3 linked regions of the Cricetulus griseus genome follow. The protein of the gene in region 3 interacts with the protein of the main gene of each other region in a biochemical or structural test. Links are inferred from orthologs where the notes say so. Each region holds a gene or a part of one and is shown on either strand. Other genes may lie near its edges. The genes, in order: Lrp2, Rgs19 and Gipc1.

Evidence for each region.
Region 1: the proteins of Gipc1 (region 3) and Lrp2 form a complex in vitro, tested with the Homo sapiens proteins (2 studies listed by BioGRID). The link is inferred for Cricetulus griseus from reciprocal best matches to the Homo sapiens genes GIPC1 and LRP2.
Region 2: the proteins of Gipc1 (region 3) and Rgs19 form a complex in vitro, tested with the Homo sapiens proteins (2 studies listed by BioGRID). The link is inferred for Cricetulus griseus from reciprocal best matches to the Homo sapiens genes GIPC1 and RGS19.

What each region holds. Positions count from the first base shown.
Region 1 is NC_048599.1:105,763,912-105,768,788, forward strand, and holds part of Lrp2 (low-density lipoprotein receptor-related protein 2), read left to right. Parts: intron 1-787; coding exon 788-878; intron 879-1,595; coding exon 1,596-1,663; intron 1,664-1,801; coding exon 1,802-1,919; intron 1,920-2,418; coding exon 2,419-2,548; intron 2,549-3,273; coding exon 3,274-3,375; intron 3,376-4,877. UniProt on the Homo sapiens protein: Multiligand endocytic receptor. Acts together with CUBN to mediate endocytosis of high-density lipoproteins. Mediates receptor-mediated uptake of polybasic drugs such as aprotinin, aminoglycosides and polymyxin B.
Region 2 is NC_048599.1:213,826-219,455, reverse strand, and holds the start of Rgs19 (regulator of G-protein signaling 19), read right to left. Parts: upstream 3,194-5,630; 5' UTR 3,038-3,193; intron 3,010-3,037; exon of another isoform or gene 2,844-3,009; intron 2,681-2,843; exon of another isoform or gene 2,514-2,680; intron 2,371-2,513; exon of another isoform or gene 2,310-2,370; intron 1,980-2,309; exon of another isoform or gene 1,274-1,979; intron 598-1,273; 5' UTR 525-597; coding exon 495-524; intron 362-494; coding exon 240-361; intron 1-239. UniProt on the Homo sapiens protein: Inhibits signal transduction by increasing the GTPase activity of G protein alpha subunits thereby driving them into their inactive GDP-bound form. Binds to G-alpha subfamily 1 members, with the order G(i)a3 > G(i)a1 > G(o)a >> G(z)a/G(i)a2.
Region 3 is NC_048596.1:160,760,612-160,766,104, reverse strand, and holds the start of Gipc1 (PDZ domain-containing protein GIPC1), read left to right. Parts: upstream 1-1,758; 5' UTR 1,759-1,884; intron 1,885-5,493. UniProt on the Homo sapiens protein: May be involved in G protein-linked signaling.

The sequences.
Region 1 (4,877 bases), on a different chromosome or scaffold from region 3:
GGTCTTGATGTGACCTATTGTTAATGAACATATCAGTTAGTTCAATGGCATTTATTGGGTGTCGACTCTGTACCAGGTGTGACTGAAAGTTCCAGAGATGAGAGAAGTGAGTAAAACAGGCAAATCCCTTCTCTCATTGAGCTTACTTGCTAGTAGGATAATAAGCCAGGAACCCTGTAAGTATGTAATAGGACAGGTGGCTAAAGTACATGCAGTAGGCACAGGGCGGGCATGATTGGCTTGCCTAGCCTCTCTGATGAAAGGAACTCTGAGTAGAGACAGTAGACAAACTCATCAAATAAAGCACACATGTGGTAAAGAAATCATCCAGGTGGTATGCCGGGGGTGAATCAGGTGCAGTAATCCAGTGGCTAGATTTCCCTCAGCTGCTTTCCCATCTATCTGTGTCTGTGTGTCTGCCACTTGCCTGGTCCTCTGCTGATGATCTGGAGTCCTGGGTTGCAGTTTCAAGCTGTGTCTAAATGAAACTCTTGGTTCTAATGGTTCCCAGAAGAGAATCTGGGGGATTTCGGGTGACACAATATATACTCTGGGTTTAACCTCACTGCTTAGAGGAAGAAAGTACTCTGAAGTTTCTATCTATCACTCCCCAGGATCTCACCATTGTTTAGGAAGTTCATTTGCCTTTGGGAACAGGTGATAACTCAGCAGGGAGGCCCGACATCCCCTTTACCCCTCCCGCCTCAGTCCTGGGCAGGTTTTGCATGGTGTAGTGCTCTGCTTGCCTGTGGCTGACTAACCCATGCATGGCTCTTCCTTTCTGCAGCCATCGAACTTCCCGTCATCATGCCTCCCCCATGCAGATGCATGCACGGAGGAAATTGCTATTTTGATGAGAATGACCTCCCCAAATGCAAGTAAGTCTGACTCTTGAGGTCCCAGTTGTAGGCCTTGGCTCTTCTAGGGAACCCGAGCTCTTTATAGCTGGGGAAACAAGTGCAGGAAGCTTGCCCAATTCACCGTTTCCGTTTCCATGTCTAACCAGCTTGTCCTCCTTTGGGGGAGTCTGCAGAAGGTGAGGCCATGTTTCCCAAACCGTACCTGGCATAAGCCTTGGCTGAGGATCTGGCTCAAATGCCTATGTGCATTTGAATGGAATGGCAGAGTCACAAGGAAGGGCAAGGAGTGAAAGAAAGGATAGCAGTGTGTCTCCCTATGCCACCTCCCACCTCACCTGGGATGATGGCTTAGGAAGGAGCACGGAAGGGCAACTGACAGGAGAGATAGATGCTTCAATACAAGGCTTATGACAAGCAGACTAGCCTGTGGGAAACCTTCACCACAGAACAAGAGGAATGGTCGCTTTCCCGAAAGCTGTTGGAGGATGGAATGCTGCCACCGTGCCTATCAATTCTCTCTAAGGAAGAAGTGCAAAGAAGCCTTATTTGTGAGGCTGACCCTCATAGATGCCACTCCACCATAAGTGAATTTCTGGAATCGGACAGAGCAGTGCTTTTAGGCTGGCAGGAGAAGCAGCTGTGATGCCGGCTGCATCGCCTGTTCCTCATGCATTTCACTGGCCACAGCACTAGGAGCCTCTAGAAGGTGACTAAGTAGTCTCCTCTTGCTTCTAGGTGTTCTAGTGGCTACAACGGAGAATACTGTGAGGTTGGGCTCTCAAGAGGCATCCCTCCAGGGACAAGTAAGTGTCCAGAATATGGGTGACCTGCAATAGTCACGGCCCTCCATCTTCCTTTTGCCCCAGGCTCATGGGCTCTAGCCGCTCTAGCCCTCCTGGTCATGTGGTGATGTTGACTCTCTGTTTCTGTCCCCTGTGCAGCAATGGCTGTGCTGTTGACATTCCTGATCATCATCATCATTGGGGCTCTGATACTCCTTGGATTTTTTCACTACAGAAAAACTGGCACCCTTTTACCCACTCTGCCCAAGCTGCCAAGGTCAGTTTCTGTGTGTTGGCTTGGCTTTCTACAAGTGACCTCTGTTTCTTGTTCTGATGTTGTATCTGGGATTGTGCTTTTGTGTGTTCAGGTAGACGGGGGTGGGGGTGGTGGTGAGGGTTGGGCTTGCTGCAGTGTTTTTTGGTTTTTCGAGACAGGGTTTCTCTGTGTAGCTTTGGAGCCTGTCCTGGCTCTTTCTCTGTAGAAAGGCTGGCCTCGAATTCACAGAGATCTGCCTGTCTCTGCCTCCCGAGTGCTGGGATTAAAAACAGCAGCCCAGCGCTGCTGTGTTTTTGACATGTGTACACAACATATCTTTTGTTCGTTTGTTTTTTTTGAGACAGGCTTTCTCTGTGGCTTTGGAGGCTGTCCTGGAAGTAGCTCTTGTAGACCAGGCTGGTCTCATAGAGATCCACCTGCCCCTGCCTCCTAAGCACTGGGATTAAAGGCATGTGCCACCACCACCCGACTAACACAACATTGTTTTGGTTCATTCCAGTTTAAGCAGCCTTGCGAAACCCTCTGAAAATGGAAATGGGGTGACTTTCAGATCAGGGGCTGATGTTAGCATGGACATTGGTGTTTCTCCTTTTGGCCCGGAGACAGTTATTGATAGATCAATGGCAATGGTGAGTGGGTCTTCCATGTGACTATTTGAAGTTTTCCTTTACAGTAACTTATGGAAGAAACCCTTCTTATAAGGAACAAAACTAACCCTGGGGGATATTAAAATAAAGAAACACAGTCTGTCCTCTGTAGGCCATATAGAGTTGGTGGAAACTATGACTCTACCATCTAAGTATTTATTTATAGATAGTCAAGGGCTGACCTTTTCTGGTCCTTCTGGCCTCTTGTGTAGAATAGGGACGTGCCTGCCGCTTATGAGCAGCAGGTGGCACACTCAGGGATGAGCCTAGCACAGCTGTGGCCCAGCAGGGCCTTTCTGTAATCTGAAAACCCACTCCTAATGCTTTGTCTCCACCTCCAATCTTCCATCCCCACACCTGCCTGAAAGAACAATATTCCCCGGTTGCCTACCTTCCTGTCCTTTTCTACCACGCATCCTTTTCTCCACTGTTCTGACCACAGTGGGTTACATACGTTAGAGAACCATAGAGAATTCAGCTGTGGAAAGAGTATTTGTGTTTTCCAGGGCAAATGGCGTGGCTCATTATTTATTAGCTGAAACAGTGGGTTGCTACAATGGGTCTCTGCTGCTGCTATCTTTCCCCCAGCCTCTCTAAGACCTCCTATTTGGGTGACTTTGTGAAAGTGTGGTAGGCATCCAGGTATGAGGGAGACACCTTTCTGTCTGGTATCAGTGGGTGTGACCTCTCTGTCTCCTCCCCACCAGAACGAAAACTTCATCATGGAGGTGGGGAAGCAGCCTGTGGTATTTGAGAATCCAACATATGCAGCTAAGGACAGCACTTCCAAAGCAGCCCTGGCAGCTCAGGTGAGATGTCTTTCTGCCTTTGTTGCCATTGAATCTTCCCGTGTTCAGAATGTTTGCCTCTAACCTGCCCTCCTAAAGGGATGAAACACAGTGACCTTCATCTCAGATTCCCTGTCCACAGTCATGAAGCTGCCCTAGTTTACAGCCCTGCAAAAAGTTAGAGCACTGTGTCTTAGCAGAGACTTTGCTGGGGGTGTTCTCTGTGCTCAGTCATTCTGAATCAGTCTTAGCAAGGGGTATGAGTCTATTAGAGATGCAGGAGACACAGGGTTCTATGACAGACACAGGGAACTATGTCAGAAATGAGTAAGAAGGAGATAGGTGTCCCAAGGACACAATCTGAGCAGGAAGATGACCTGTACTGCACAGAAGTCAGAAATTAAGATTTGCTTGGCAAAGGCTTACTATTGCTCTGTATTAAGAGAAACTGGGAGAAGAGACAGACAACATGCTTTTCATTAGTCTGGACTAACAGCCCATGCCACCTTTAGACTTGACCTGTGCCTCCTTTTTCTAAGTAGCTACAGCAAATAGCCTTCAGTATTTGTCAGTGACTAGATTTCTTTCAAATTCAGTATTGGTATACTTTAATATTATATGATAGAAATGTTTCTTTCAAAAATAGCTTTTGTGTTTTGTTTTGATTTTGGTTTTTCAAGACTGGGTTTCTCCATGGCTGTCCTGGAACCAGGCTGTCCTTGAACTCATAGATCTGCCTTACCTTACCTCCCCAGTTCTGGGACTAAAGGTGTGTGCCACCACTGCCTGGCTCAAAAATAGCTTTTTTAAGAGCAAAAATGTTTGGATCTTGAAAAACTCTTACCTGCTCCTTGATAGTGCATCATGGAGCAGAGATGAAATTTCATCTGGTATTTTCACATGAAATAAAAGGAGGAGTGTATACAAACACATACAAGTTTAAGAAGAAACAAAATAGTGGATGTAAAATGCAAAAAAAGGGAGTATATTATCTTCCCTGTAATGCATATAGCCAGGGTCATTTAGGTTTAAGAAAGAATTACATGGAATTTTACAAAAATAGAATTAAGCATTAAGCCTATTTTTTAAAAAAAGTCTTTTCTCTTTTAGGCAGTCCTCAGATTGCTCATTTATTTTTTATTTATTTATCCATTTATCTTTTGAGATACAGTCTTACCATGTAGCCCTGGCTGGCTTCAGACCCACAGAGATTTGCCTGTCTCTGCTGGTATTAATGGTGTATGACACCATACCTGGCCACAATATTCAAAGAGGACCCTGTTCACTGTGTTTGTGTGACTGGTCATGTTTACTAAGCACTTGGTTGCTAGTATGTGATTAGAATATCTTTTATCTAAAATTATGGTCAACAGTGGGAATGAAGAGTATAGAGAATTACATTGCCTGCCAGTGGGGGATATACTTGCCTGCCAGGGTTGGTACATTAGGTGACTTCATAGTTACTGCTCTTATTTGGGGGAAGTGGGAGTGGTATTTATAGCTGCCAGGGTCACATATCTGAT
Region 2 (5,630 bases), on a different chromosome or scaffold from region 3:
TTCTTAGCCTGTGGAGGGTCTAGGGAACAGGACTGGGTCTGAGTCCTAAAATCCACCCCATCCCACCCCTATATGCCTCAGTGCTTCTGTATCTCTTCTATGAGCTGCTCCCCAGGCCCATATACCATGTACCCCCAGGCCTATATACTCTGGTTTTGCCCTCTTTGAGCCATGTACCCCTGCCCAAATGCCCTGGGGTCTTCTTCCCAGTATAAGCTGCACCCTTAAGGTCCACATACCAGGAGCAGCTGCAGCAGCAGCACCAGCATAAGCAGCAGGGGTTGCGACTGGGGGGTCCTGAGGGGGCTGCATCATGGCTGGACATCGAGGGGGGCCTGTCCGCCTCCTCTGGTCCTGTGTGCTGAGGAAGAGGGGGCTGCCTCAACCTCCATTCCAGAATTCACTGGACCCTATGTCTGCCCATCTGCCCAACTGGCTGTGCCCCCAAGGGCCTCAGGTGTCCAGGAACCCAATTAGAGGGAGGAAGTGCCTACCTGTTTCTCCGCCTCATGTGGGGTGGGCATGTGTGGGTGGAGAGGGTTGCACAGATTCTGTGGTGCCAGCTCTGGACCTTCACTGCAGTCTGGGAGCTTGGATCTGAGAAGAGTGTTGGGAGTTCTGACTGAGGGCCTGTGACCTGGGCCCACCTTGTAACCTCTGCAACCACCTCAGGTCCCTCAGAGGGAGCTTGCTCAGAGCTCTACCCCAAGTCTGTGTGCTAACCCCATATGGAAGTGCCCCAGGCAATGATGGGGCTACTGCAGTTGGGCCTCCCACAAAGGGCTCTAAGATACCCCCATCTACTCAGTCCCCAAGAAGCCGGAAGCCTGGGTTCCTCTTTCTTGGCTTCCGGCTCCTGGCCCCTCCTAAGGGGACTGGAGCTACAGGCTGGTATGGAGATGGTAGGATACTCTGATGGCTCCCTCCCTCTAGGTAGGTGGGTAGACATGCTACCCAGATGACTGCAGAGGGCTAGGTCTGAGGCACCAGAGTACTTGAGTAGAATTCAGAACAAGACTTCCTGAAAGTGAGGAATGGAGGTGGGGGGTTACTCGAGAGATGTGTACTTAGGTAACAAGGCTCTTAGGTCCTTGGCTGCGTCAGACACCCCCACTTCACCCTGGTTTCCCTTTTTCTCCTGAGGATGCAGAAGCAGGGAGTGCTAGCCATGGAAGCTGGGGTGGCAATGTGGGAGGATCAGCTGCTTAGCTGGAGCCTTGGGCTCTTCAATGGGTTTTCATATGATTTATCATTCTTGATGTTTGGACCACACCTTCACAGGGGGTTCTAGGAACCTCTCAGGCCTCTGAAAGCTGACTTCAAATTCCAGTGTCCCCAGGAAAAACAGAAGCAAAGCATCCAATTAGCACCCTGGCAGCAGTTTTGAATGCCTCCTCTCTCCCCAGCCTGTGCCCATTTCTGACCAGGTGGAGGCTAGGCTATCCAGGCCTTAAGATCTCTGCTCTGCCCACCTTCCTCACATTAACCTGGGGCTCACGTTACTTTGTCGATGAAATCCACCCTCCTGTAGCCCTGAATCCAGCAGAGGGAGGCCCTTTATCCTCTTCTGCCTGAGGTCTGTACACTGAGGGCAGCCCCACCACCTGGCTCGATTTCTGAGATGGTGGGTTCCCAAGTCTCCCAGCGTGCAAACCAGGACACAAAAGTAGCTTGGGCTGTACTTCCCTGGGGTGGAGCTTCTAGGGAAAGGAAGGGGTGTAGTAGCCTAAGGTCTCTAGGCTCTCCAGAGTCATCACCCTGCAGACCATCCCTCAGATGCTCCATCTCCAACCAGCTGACTGGACAGGGAACAGCCTGGGGTGTGTGGGGCCTGGATGCTGGGGTCCAGTTTGTGCAGACGCAGGTGTCTGCCATTTTCCCCAGCTGCAGGCTCTTGTCCTGGCTCCTTGCACCCATCAAAGGTCGGTTGGGACCACCCATGTCGTCCAGAGTGCTCTTGACTACCGCCTCCCTTCTTTCTAGGGAAGGGGAGCCCAGCATCTGAATTAGGGTTTTCCTGCCCCATCTCCGGATACTGGATGGCTCATTCCCTCCCCAAGCCTCCCAGGCGTTGGCCTCCCAAGTCTATGCTGAGACCAAATGCAGCAAATCTGGTCTCTGGGGACAGAAGCTCCCTGGGGAATGGCTGCCGTGTTGCTCCACAGAAGAAAATGTTCAAGCCCGACCAGTCCAAAAAAAAAAAAAAAAAAAAAAAAAAAAAAAAAAAAAAGAAAGAAAAGAAAAGAACCTTTGGGGGGGGGTAACAGGGGTTCCATTCCCACTTCCATCCCACACTGTCATTGTCCTACCTGTACCTCCATGGCGGGCCAGACCTCTCTCACCATGGCGAACCCCGCTGCCCAAGCCCACCTGTGGGATGGTAGGCCCCCACCCAGTTACTGCTTTCTGCTGGTGGGGTCGTCTGGAGGGCTGGTCTCTTCTTCGCGGTCCCTCTCGCAGTCTCTGACGCCCCCACCCCTTTCTTAAGGAATTCGCCATGAGGCCCCACTCACCAGCGACCTAAAGGCGGATGGGGGCGGGAGGGCCAGGTTCGGTCTGGGCCCCACCCTGGCTGCCGAAGGGGCGTGCTCTAAAGCAGCAGGGACTTAAGTCAGACAGCAAGATGTACTCCTGGGTATTCGCGAGATAGGAAGGCGCACAGAATCCCTCTCGGGTGGGGCTGTGGAGGGGGCGCAACATTCACCCCTAAGGCTCGCCGGGCCGAGTGGCTAGTGGACCCAACTCGAAGGGTGGGTAAGGTGGTGGATCGGTGTCTGGCCTGGCCCCTCCCCACTAGGCTAGCGGGCGGGAGACACGGAAACCTGGGTTCTTCCGGCCCCCACCTTTAGCAATTACTTCTCAAAGCTCTGAGCTGAAGAAAAAGGGGAACCTTGCTGCGGCTCTCCCTCCCCCACGCGCAGGGGGTGGGCTCCGGTCCCACCGCGACCCAGGTCCACGTGGGCTGGTCGCTGAAGTCCGGGAACAGAGCCGGCATCTACATCTCCGGGGCCCGCCCGCGGTCCAGCGCCGCACTCACCGCAGAGTCCCCGAGTCACAGCGCCCGCGCGATCCGAAGTCCTGCTTGTCGCCGGGGAGGGGGCGCAGGCGCAGTGCGCAGGCGCCTCCACGGTACTTCCCCAAAGAGAGGGGCCGGGACTTCCTCGAGCCCCAGCGCCTGCTCGCCCGCAGTGCCCCGCCCCGCGCCCGCTCCCGCGCCCCACCCGCGCTGGCGTGTCGTCCTGCGGTAGCGTGGCATGGTGACCCTGAGGGGTGAGTCGTACACAGACAGTGGATTGAGCCGGCGCTCCGTCTGGTTAGCTAGGTTTTCCCAGCCTTTCCTTTCTGTGGTAGTGCAGTGTGGGGCACCAGAGCTGAGCCCAGTGTGCTTCTTGGCAGGATGAGAAGAGGCCTTTGGGAAGGACTGGCCTGTTGTACTGCCCTGTCCGCCCCACCCCTTCGCATTTCTGAGTCTGGTCTGTCACTCTGCTGTCCACAGAGAAAGGGAGATTCAGGAACTGCAGCTTGGTGGGCACTGTGAATGCAGGTTCTTATATCAAATTACCCCGAAAGTTTCTGGGGCCTAGTTGAGTCCCTCCCTATTGACCCCTCAAATTGCTCCAAGATAGCCTTTTCTGCAAATGGCCTTACTCTTTGGCCAGCTCTTCAGATCCTTTATTATTGGGTGCAGATTTGAATTAGCTCATTATCCCAGCATGCTCTGGGCAAGTGTCCAGGGGCCCTGACCCTACTTTAGACTTGGTTTGTAGGGTGTGTGTGGTTGCTTGGGCCATGCGGTTCCTGCCCTTCTTAGCACTGGAACACAGCCTAACCAGTTCAGGTGCTAGGGTCTTGCAAAAAAAAAAAAAAAAAAAAAAACTTTTTAATCGCACAGGTTGTATATGCTGACCACAGAAGTTAGAGGTGCAAAGCAAATACCCACTCTTGAGGCAGCGGGTCCCAGGCAGACAGACTGACCTGGAGCTAACTGCAGTGGACTAGAATGGGAGACAGGCCCAAAAGGGATGGGGTGAGAGGTGAGGAGGGCAGGATGTTGCCATGATGTTCAGGGAGTCTGGATGAAGAGAGAACATTGGTTGAGAGCCTGAGGCTACCAGGCTTTCTCTAATGCTGTGTGGGGCTTGATGAAAAAAGCCAGAACCCTTTAGCTGCCACCTGATGGATTCCAAAGCAAGGTAGAGGCTAAGAAGCCCATCTAAACAGTAGTAGTTGCTTTAGATAATAGTCCTGAGAAGTGGACACAGTTTAGAATAAGGAGGCCCAGTAGAAATGGGTCAATACCAGGTGGAGACAACAAAACAAAGCTGATTCTGCAGTATTTGGTGTGGGCAACTGGCTGTGGGTAGAAGTCAGTATGCGTTCTTCCCCTCAGTTCATTTTACATGCCTACCCACTTGTTCTCTGCTACCTTACATCTGTTCTATACTCAATTAGCATCTTTAAGCACAGAGAATGCCCCTAAATCTAGGCAGGAGACCAGGAGCACTGAGCAAGTGACACTAGTGAGGATGGAACTTTAACACAATTTACCCTTTTCTAGAGCAGGACCCCTACTCCCAGCCCCACCCCCCACCCCGGCACCAGCCACTCATAAGCCCCACTTAACTGTGCATGGGCCACAGGCTTTGTATCCTCGTTGGATTTTCTTCAGACAGAGGGATCCTGTGCCACCTTCCTTAGCCTACTCTGTAAACCCAATCCCTCACTGATGTGGAGATCAAGTGGCACTCTTAAGCTGGTCTGACACTTGGTGTAGAGCTCTTTTGCCATTGTTATGCTGGCCTTCTCAGGATGTTGGTGTGTGTGTCCTCAGCCCTCTGCTCTGAGGTACTTATCTGAATTACTCACTATGTGGGACACTGCGGTAATCTTAGACATCTCTGTGATCACCATGAAGAAATGCAGGGTTGGAAAAGTGACTTTACTAAATAGATGAAGTTTTTCTAGGCTCTTGGCAAATCCTTGGCAAGCTCCTCTACAAGGAGCTTGACCAGAGGAGCCCAGCATTGGCTATCATCTGGTGTAATTGACTGTCATTAGAAGACTACAATCTGGGTGTGTGTGACCATCATTCCTGGATGAAGAGACTGTCTCCTTTTCCCTGTCTACACCCATGTCCAAACCTACCATTTCCCTGCTCTGCCATCCTCCCCATTGCCTGAAACCCCCTCCCCTCCTCCTAAGAGCTGCTGCTGATTTGTGAGTGCTCCCATCTGGGTTTGGATCAAGGCCCAGGGCAGCAACAGGCCAGAAAGTGAGAAGGGTCATGCGCAGGGGGAGAAGACCAGCTGAGGAAACAGAGCCCTGGGAACTGGCCATCAGTGAGTAAGAGCTTTCTGGACCACAGTTTTGATCTCTTCTTCCTTTCTGTTCTCTGTTCCATGAAGAGCCAGGGGGAGCTCCCATGCAGGGACAGGGAGCTGTGTACCTCCCCATAGTTTCTGCCTCTGTCCAGCCTGCTGGGTAGGGACTAAGAAGAAGGACAAGGCCAAAGGACTGAAGGGCAAGAGACCACAGGTTCTGCAAAGAACCCATGCTGTGGAGAAGAGGAAGAAGAGCCTCCCAGAAACCGGGGGCTTTTCAGAGTCTAGTGGTCAGAACGGGATGAGTGG
Region 3 (5,493 bases):
TTTTTGATTGCTGAAAAGCAAAGGACAGGGTTTCTCTGAGTAGCTCCTGTCCTGGAACTCACTTTGTAGATCAGGCTGGCCTCAAACTCACAGAGATCCATTTGCCTCTGCCTCATAAGTACTGGGACTGAAGGCGTGTGCCACTACCTCCCAGCCATTTATCTATTATTATAACTAAGAAAAACTATAACTATAATTATCTATCTTCAACTCCATCAAAGACCTGAGAAGGAATAATATTACCTGAATAAGGGCAAGCAAGCGACTTCTTAAAGATACAGGAAATGACAGAAACAGCTGGCTTTCTGGACAGTCACCTCAGGTTTTGTTTTTTGGTTTTTTGGTTTTTTTTTTTTTTTGGTGATGTTGGGGCATCCAATTTTGGCTTATAGGCCTAGAATATCTGACATATCATTTTCCATTGTCAGAAGCAAGAAAATCTGAAGGACTCTCCTAACCTTTCTTGGCAAGGTTCAGCAGTCACTTTTTCTTGTGTCCTGTTTGTCTGGATTGGACAGCATACTTACTGTCAGCAGTCCAGGCAAGGGCAGCTCTTTACCCAATAGGCCAGTTTTGCTAAAAGGGAAACAAACTCCATATGGAGTGACTTCAGTGCCCATCATCCTCTCAGGAGTAGATCAGCTGCCAGGAGCAGATGTGTCTCATGTCAAAAGAATTTTAAATTATCAAAACATTTTAAATGTCATATTCTGTAGGTCTTTGAAGTGTTTGAAGATTACCAACCCATCTAAAAATATATCTCTGTATATCTAGCTAAACCTAACATAACATTAAGTTTGACTATTATAAACTGCATAAACATAGTATCATAAACAAGAGTAGAAATATAAATATAGCATAACAAAATTAACCTTAAGTTTATATCAAGAAAGTAAAATATATAACAATGTAAGTATTTTGGGATTAGCAGTTGTTTGGGGGTTAAGGAGATTCAATAATCTACCCTTTTCCCCATCATACATTTCTATGAGGGAGGAGGAAGGGGAGAAGGAGGAGGAGGAAGTGGAGGAGGAGGAGGCGGCGGAGGAGGAGGAGGAGGGGAGGAGGAGGAGGGGAGGAGGGGAGGAGAGGAGGAGGAGGAGAGGAGGAGGAGGAGGAGGAGGAGGAGGAGGAGGAGGAAACCTGCACTGGTTGGTCACCATCTATGATTCTGCACAGTACTGAACTGACAAGCCGACTGTTTAAACATTCTCCATCGTGTATTCTTACACAGCTTTACTAGCAAAGTGCTCTGTGGCTCTCTGTGCAGCTTCGGAGCCTTTGCACACCCTGTATCTCCATTCATGTGTCTGTAGAGCCAGGACCGAGCCTGGTACCAGGCAGGGGCACTTAAAGATTGAAAGACTGAATGAATGCACGGTTGCTTTGTCTATTGTGTAGAGTGGAAAAAGCAGAGACACCCGGGACCCTCCCTATTCACTATGGCCCACCCCCTGGAGTCAAAGCATCTTTCTGGGAGGGAAGCTGAGCGAGGGTGTGCTCTCGGCCGCCTCTCTGACCTCCCAACGAGCCCGCTTTCCTGGATGCCGAGCGCAGTCCTCCAAACCCGGTCATCTGACTCTTACTGCCAGCTCCCGCCCAGCTCCCCGTCCTCTCACCCGCGCAGCCCCTCAATGGTTCAGCCCGCCGCCATTTAGAACGAGTAAGGTCGGACCACTGCGCGTACAGGGGGGAGACCGAGGTGCGGCGGAGGGATCCCTCAGAGCGTTCCGACGGGAGGCACCCATTGGCCGCCAGTATGGGAGGCCGCCGCTGATTGGTCCGCTCGGGACGCCGGCCCCGCCCAGGTACGGGAGGCCGAGGGAGAAGCCGGGCCGAGTTTCCAGAGGATCGAACTGGGCGCGCGGGGTGGCTGCGGCGCAGGTGAGTGTTCCCCGGCCAGGGGCGGCCTCCCGGGCGTGGAGCCGTGGCGGCGGGGTGGGGCTGGCCGCGTCGGGACCCCAAACACGGACCCTTCCCCTCCGGCCGGGGCCTCCGGTCCGCCCCTGCCCTCTGCTCCCGGGACGCTCCCTGTTGGTGATGGGTCCCGACCCCTCCCGGGCCCCTGCCCAAAAGCTGGCCGCGGGGGCACCGAGGCCGCCGAGTCCGGAAGACAATAACAACCGCAGTAATAGTGCGGACCACCCCCCACCCCCGCCTCGCTAGCCCGGACCCAGCGCTTCCTCGTCAGACGCTTACAGTGCACAACATTGAATCAAAACAGCCTCCTGGGAGGGGCTGTTAACTTCTTTTAGAAGTGAGGGATCAGGGCCAGAGAGGTGGAGTGACTCACTCAAGGTCACACAGCTAGTAAGTGGCCGGTGGGGATGAGGGACCCATGCCTTGAGTCCAGAAACTAGTCCCAGAAGTCGTCCCTGACCAGCCAGCCACCGGACTCACTGCACACGGCCGCCCCCATATTCCCTTCGGAGCCGCACCTGCTGGGTTTTGCTTCCCCGAGCCCACGGGTCACTAAACAGCTTCCAAGTTGCCCTCGTGTCCCTTCTCTTGAGCTGGCCAGGCAAGGCCTGACGTGGGCCCTTTAATCCCATTCCCCCTCCACCCACCCTGTCTACTTACTGCGAAGAGAAATGAGCGAGAGTGAGTGTAGAGGCCGGGGCGGGGGAGCGGGGCAAGAGGTGCGTCCACTCGCCCCGGAAACACTGGAGAGATGAAACCTTTAGGATCCGGTTTTTCAAGAATGAATCAGAGGCCTCCTCCCCTCCTCCCCAAAGTAGTACTGTGCTGGGGGTTAGGAGCGAGGGACGACAGGTGTGGTGTCCCCTAAACTGGGAGTTATCTGAGCCCCAGGAGTCCCCCTCCCTGCTTCCTGCACCTCCCACTTAGCGTTTCTGTGACTGCAGGGTTGCTAAGTTTCTGGCCCTTCTTGGGATGAGAGCGCTGAACTCCGGAAATCCATCCAACCCACTTCCCTTCAGCTCCTTGCAGACAGCGGGGAGGAGCTCGTAGCTCTCTAGCAGTCATGTTGGTGGGGTTTGGTTCACAAGCAGGGTTATAGGACATTCACTCTACAGTTCACCTGCAAGTGCTAAGCAGCCACTGTGCCAGGCACCATGTTTTGCTTGGAGGGAAGTGTCCTCCAAATGCAGGACAGAATTCCCTGCATTCTAGTGGGGAACAGGCAACAAGTTAACATGGGCAGCCACTGCAGATCCTTCTAAGTGCTGAGTGACCTCTCAGAGATCACTGGGCAGGGGGAGATCACACACACACACACCCCAAGGCAGAGTGAAGTATAGAATAGCTGGAACAGGGAATGAAGCTATAGATGTGATTGAGTACCTGGTACAGAAAACACATTTTTTTATTGTCGAGTTTTCCCCTATACGGTGAGATTCCTTTGTGAGATAGGAGATGGTTTGCATTTTAAAATAGAGACACAGGCTGGAAAGACAGCTCACAGACTGCATGCTGGGAGTTCCATTCCCAGCCCCCACATGGTGGGTCACAACCATCTCTAACTAGTTCCTTTTGACCTCTTCAGGCACCCAAGTGATGCACAGGCAGACATGAAGCAAAGCTCTCATACACATAAAATTAAAATAAAATAAATTTTAAAAATGAAGATGCAAGATAAATAGCAGCCGGGACATTGAGAGACAAGCTCTGTCAGGGTAGCACACAGCAAGTTCATAGACCCTAGTACTGTGGTGCAGCTCCTGTGTGCGGGCTGGGCAAGCCAGCTGCCTGGAGAAGTCTGGAATAGGCCTTGCCAGCATAGGAACTGGGATGCTTCTAGGCCAGGGAAGGAAGGATGTGACCAGAATAAAGACTGAAGAAGTTTGGAGGTGCAGGTCAGCAGTACAGCCCCTGCCCCGAACCTGTGGGGGAGGTGTGGGTCGGCAGCAGAGTGCCTTCCAAGCAATGAAAGATTCTAGTTTCTGTCTCCATCACTGCAAATAATAACACGTCCAACACTTTCTGATGAGATTCCGTAAGTACCCAACAGACATAAACTCTGCCAGATTCTCAGGAGATAAAACTGCGGCCTCATGAAGCTAAGCAACTTGGCTTTGTCTGTGCCACTGGTGAGTAGCAAGGGTGGAACTTGAATCCAGGCCATCATCCAGGCCATGTGTCTCAGGGTCTGCATCATTGGTTTATTAGTCACTCATTTTCCTCAGTGCCTTGGGTCTCTCACCAGAGGGCACACAAAAGCTGGACTAAACCACAGCAGTGAATATGTACAGAGACAGAAAGGAGGCTGGGGAACAGGGTATGCGGTGCAGGACAGTGAGGAAAGACAGTGTATCAGCACACACCCCAATAGTATTGCGGGGACTGTCCCAGGCACACACATGCACTCACACACCCCCAATAGTGTTCCAGGAGCAATCCAGGCATATACATGGTTTCCTTTTTGATCAGACGAGTTAAGATATTTGGCCTAAACTGGGCAGTGGTGGCACACGCCTTTGATCCCAGCATTCAGGCAGATCTCTGAGTTTGAGGCCAGCCTGGACTACAGAGTAAGTTCCAGGACAGCCAGGGACTACAGAGTAAACTTAAAACAAATATAGAACAAGGAATGGTGATCAAAAGAGTGTGTACCAAGGAGGTGCTATTGCTCCTGTTCTCTATTGAGTGTGGTGGCATACAATTCCATGTAATTCATTTCAGTTTACTTCTGTGAAATAGCCAGTGAGTGTCTGTAGTATACTGGGATACAGAGCTATGGACAGACAGATGAAAGAACCAGTAAAAGACAAGTGCCCAGAATATATAAAGAGTTCTCACAAATCAATAAGAAAAAGACCATCCAAGTAAGGCTGAATCAGCCAGGTGTAAAGAGGCCTGTTATCCCAGGACATGGGAGGTAGAGGCAGGAGGATCTTGAGTGTGAGGCTTATTCTGTATTGTGCAGGGAGACAGACCCTCCTTGAAAAAGCAGAGCAAAAGAAAACAATGCAGGGCCATGTAGACCATGGAGATGGCGCACTTGGTAAAGTGCTTGCTGTGCCAGCTGAGTTTGACTGTCAGAACCCATGTGAAAATGCTAGGCATGGTGGCTTGCAGCTGTCACCCCAGCACTGGGGACATAAACAGGAAGGCCTATGGGGCCGGCTAGCCTAACTGGAGAGCTCATGCAAAGTGGGGCTGGGGGTATGGGATATAACTTAGTGGTAGAGCCCTTGCCCAGCATATTTGAGGCCCTGAGTTCAATTCCCAGCACAAAAGGGGTGGCACACTGGAGAGATGGCTCAGTGGAGTAAAGACTGCCACCAAGCCTGTAACCTGAGTTTGATTCCTGGTACCTGAATGGTAGAAGGAATGAACTGACCCCCACAACCTCTGTATGCAAATTGTGGCAACACACATGCACACAAATAAATAAATGTGGTCCCCCTCCCCTTTCAGACAGGGTCTCATTTTGCAGTTCTGGTTGTCCTAGAACTTGCTATGTTGGCTAGCCTAACCTCAAAGTAATTTTTTTTAATTTTTATTTTATGTGTTTGGGTATTTCGTCTGCTT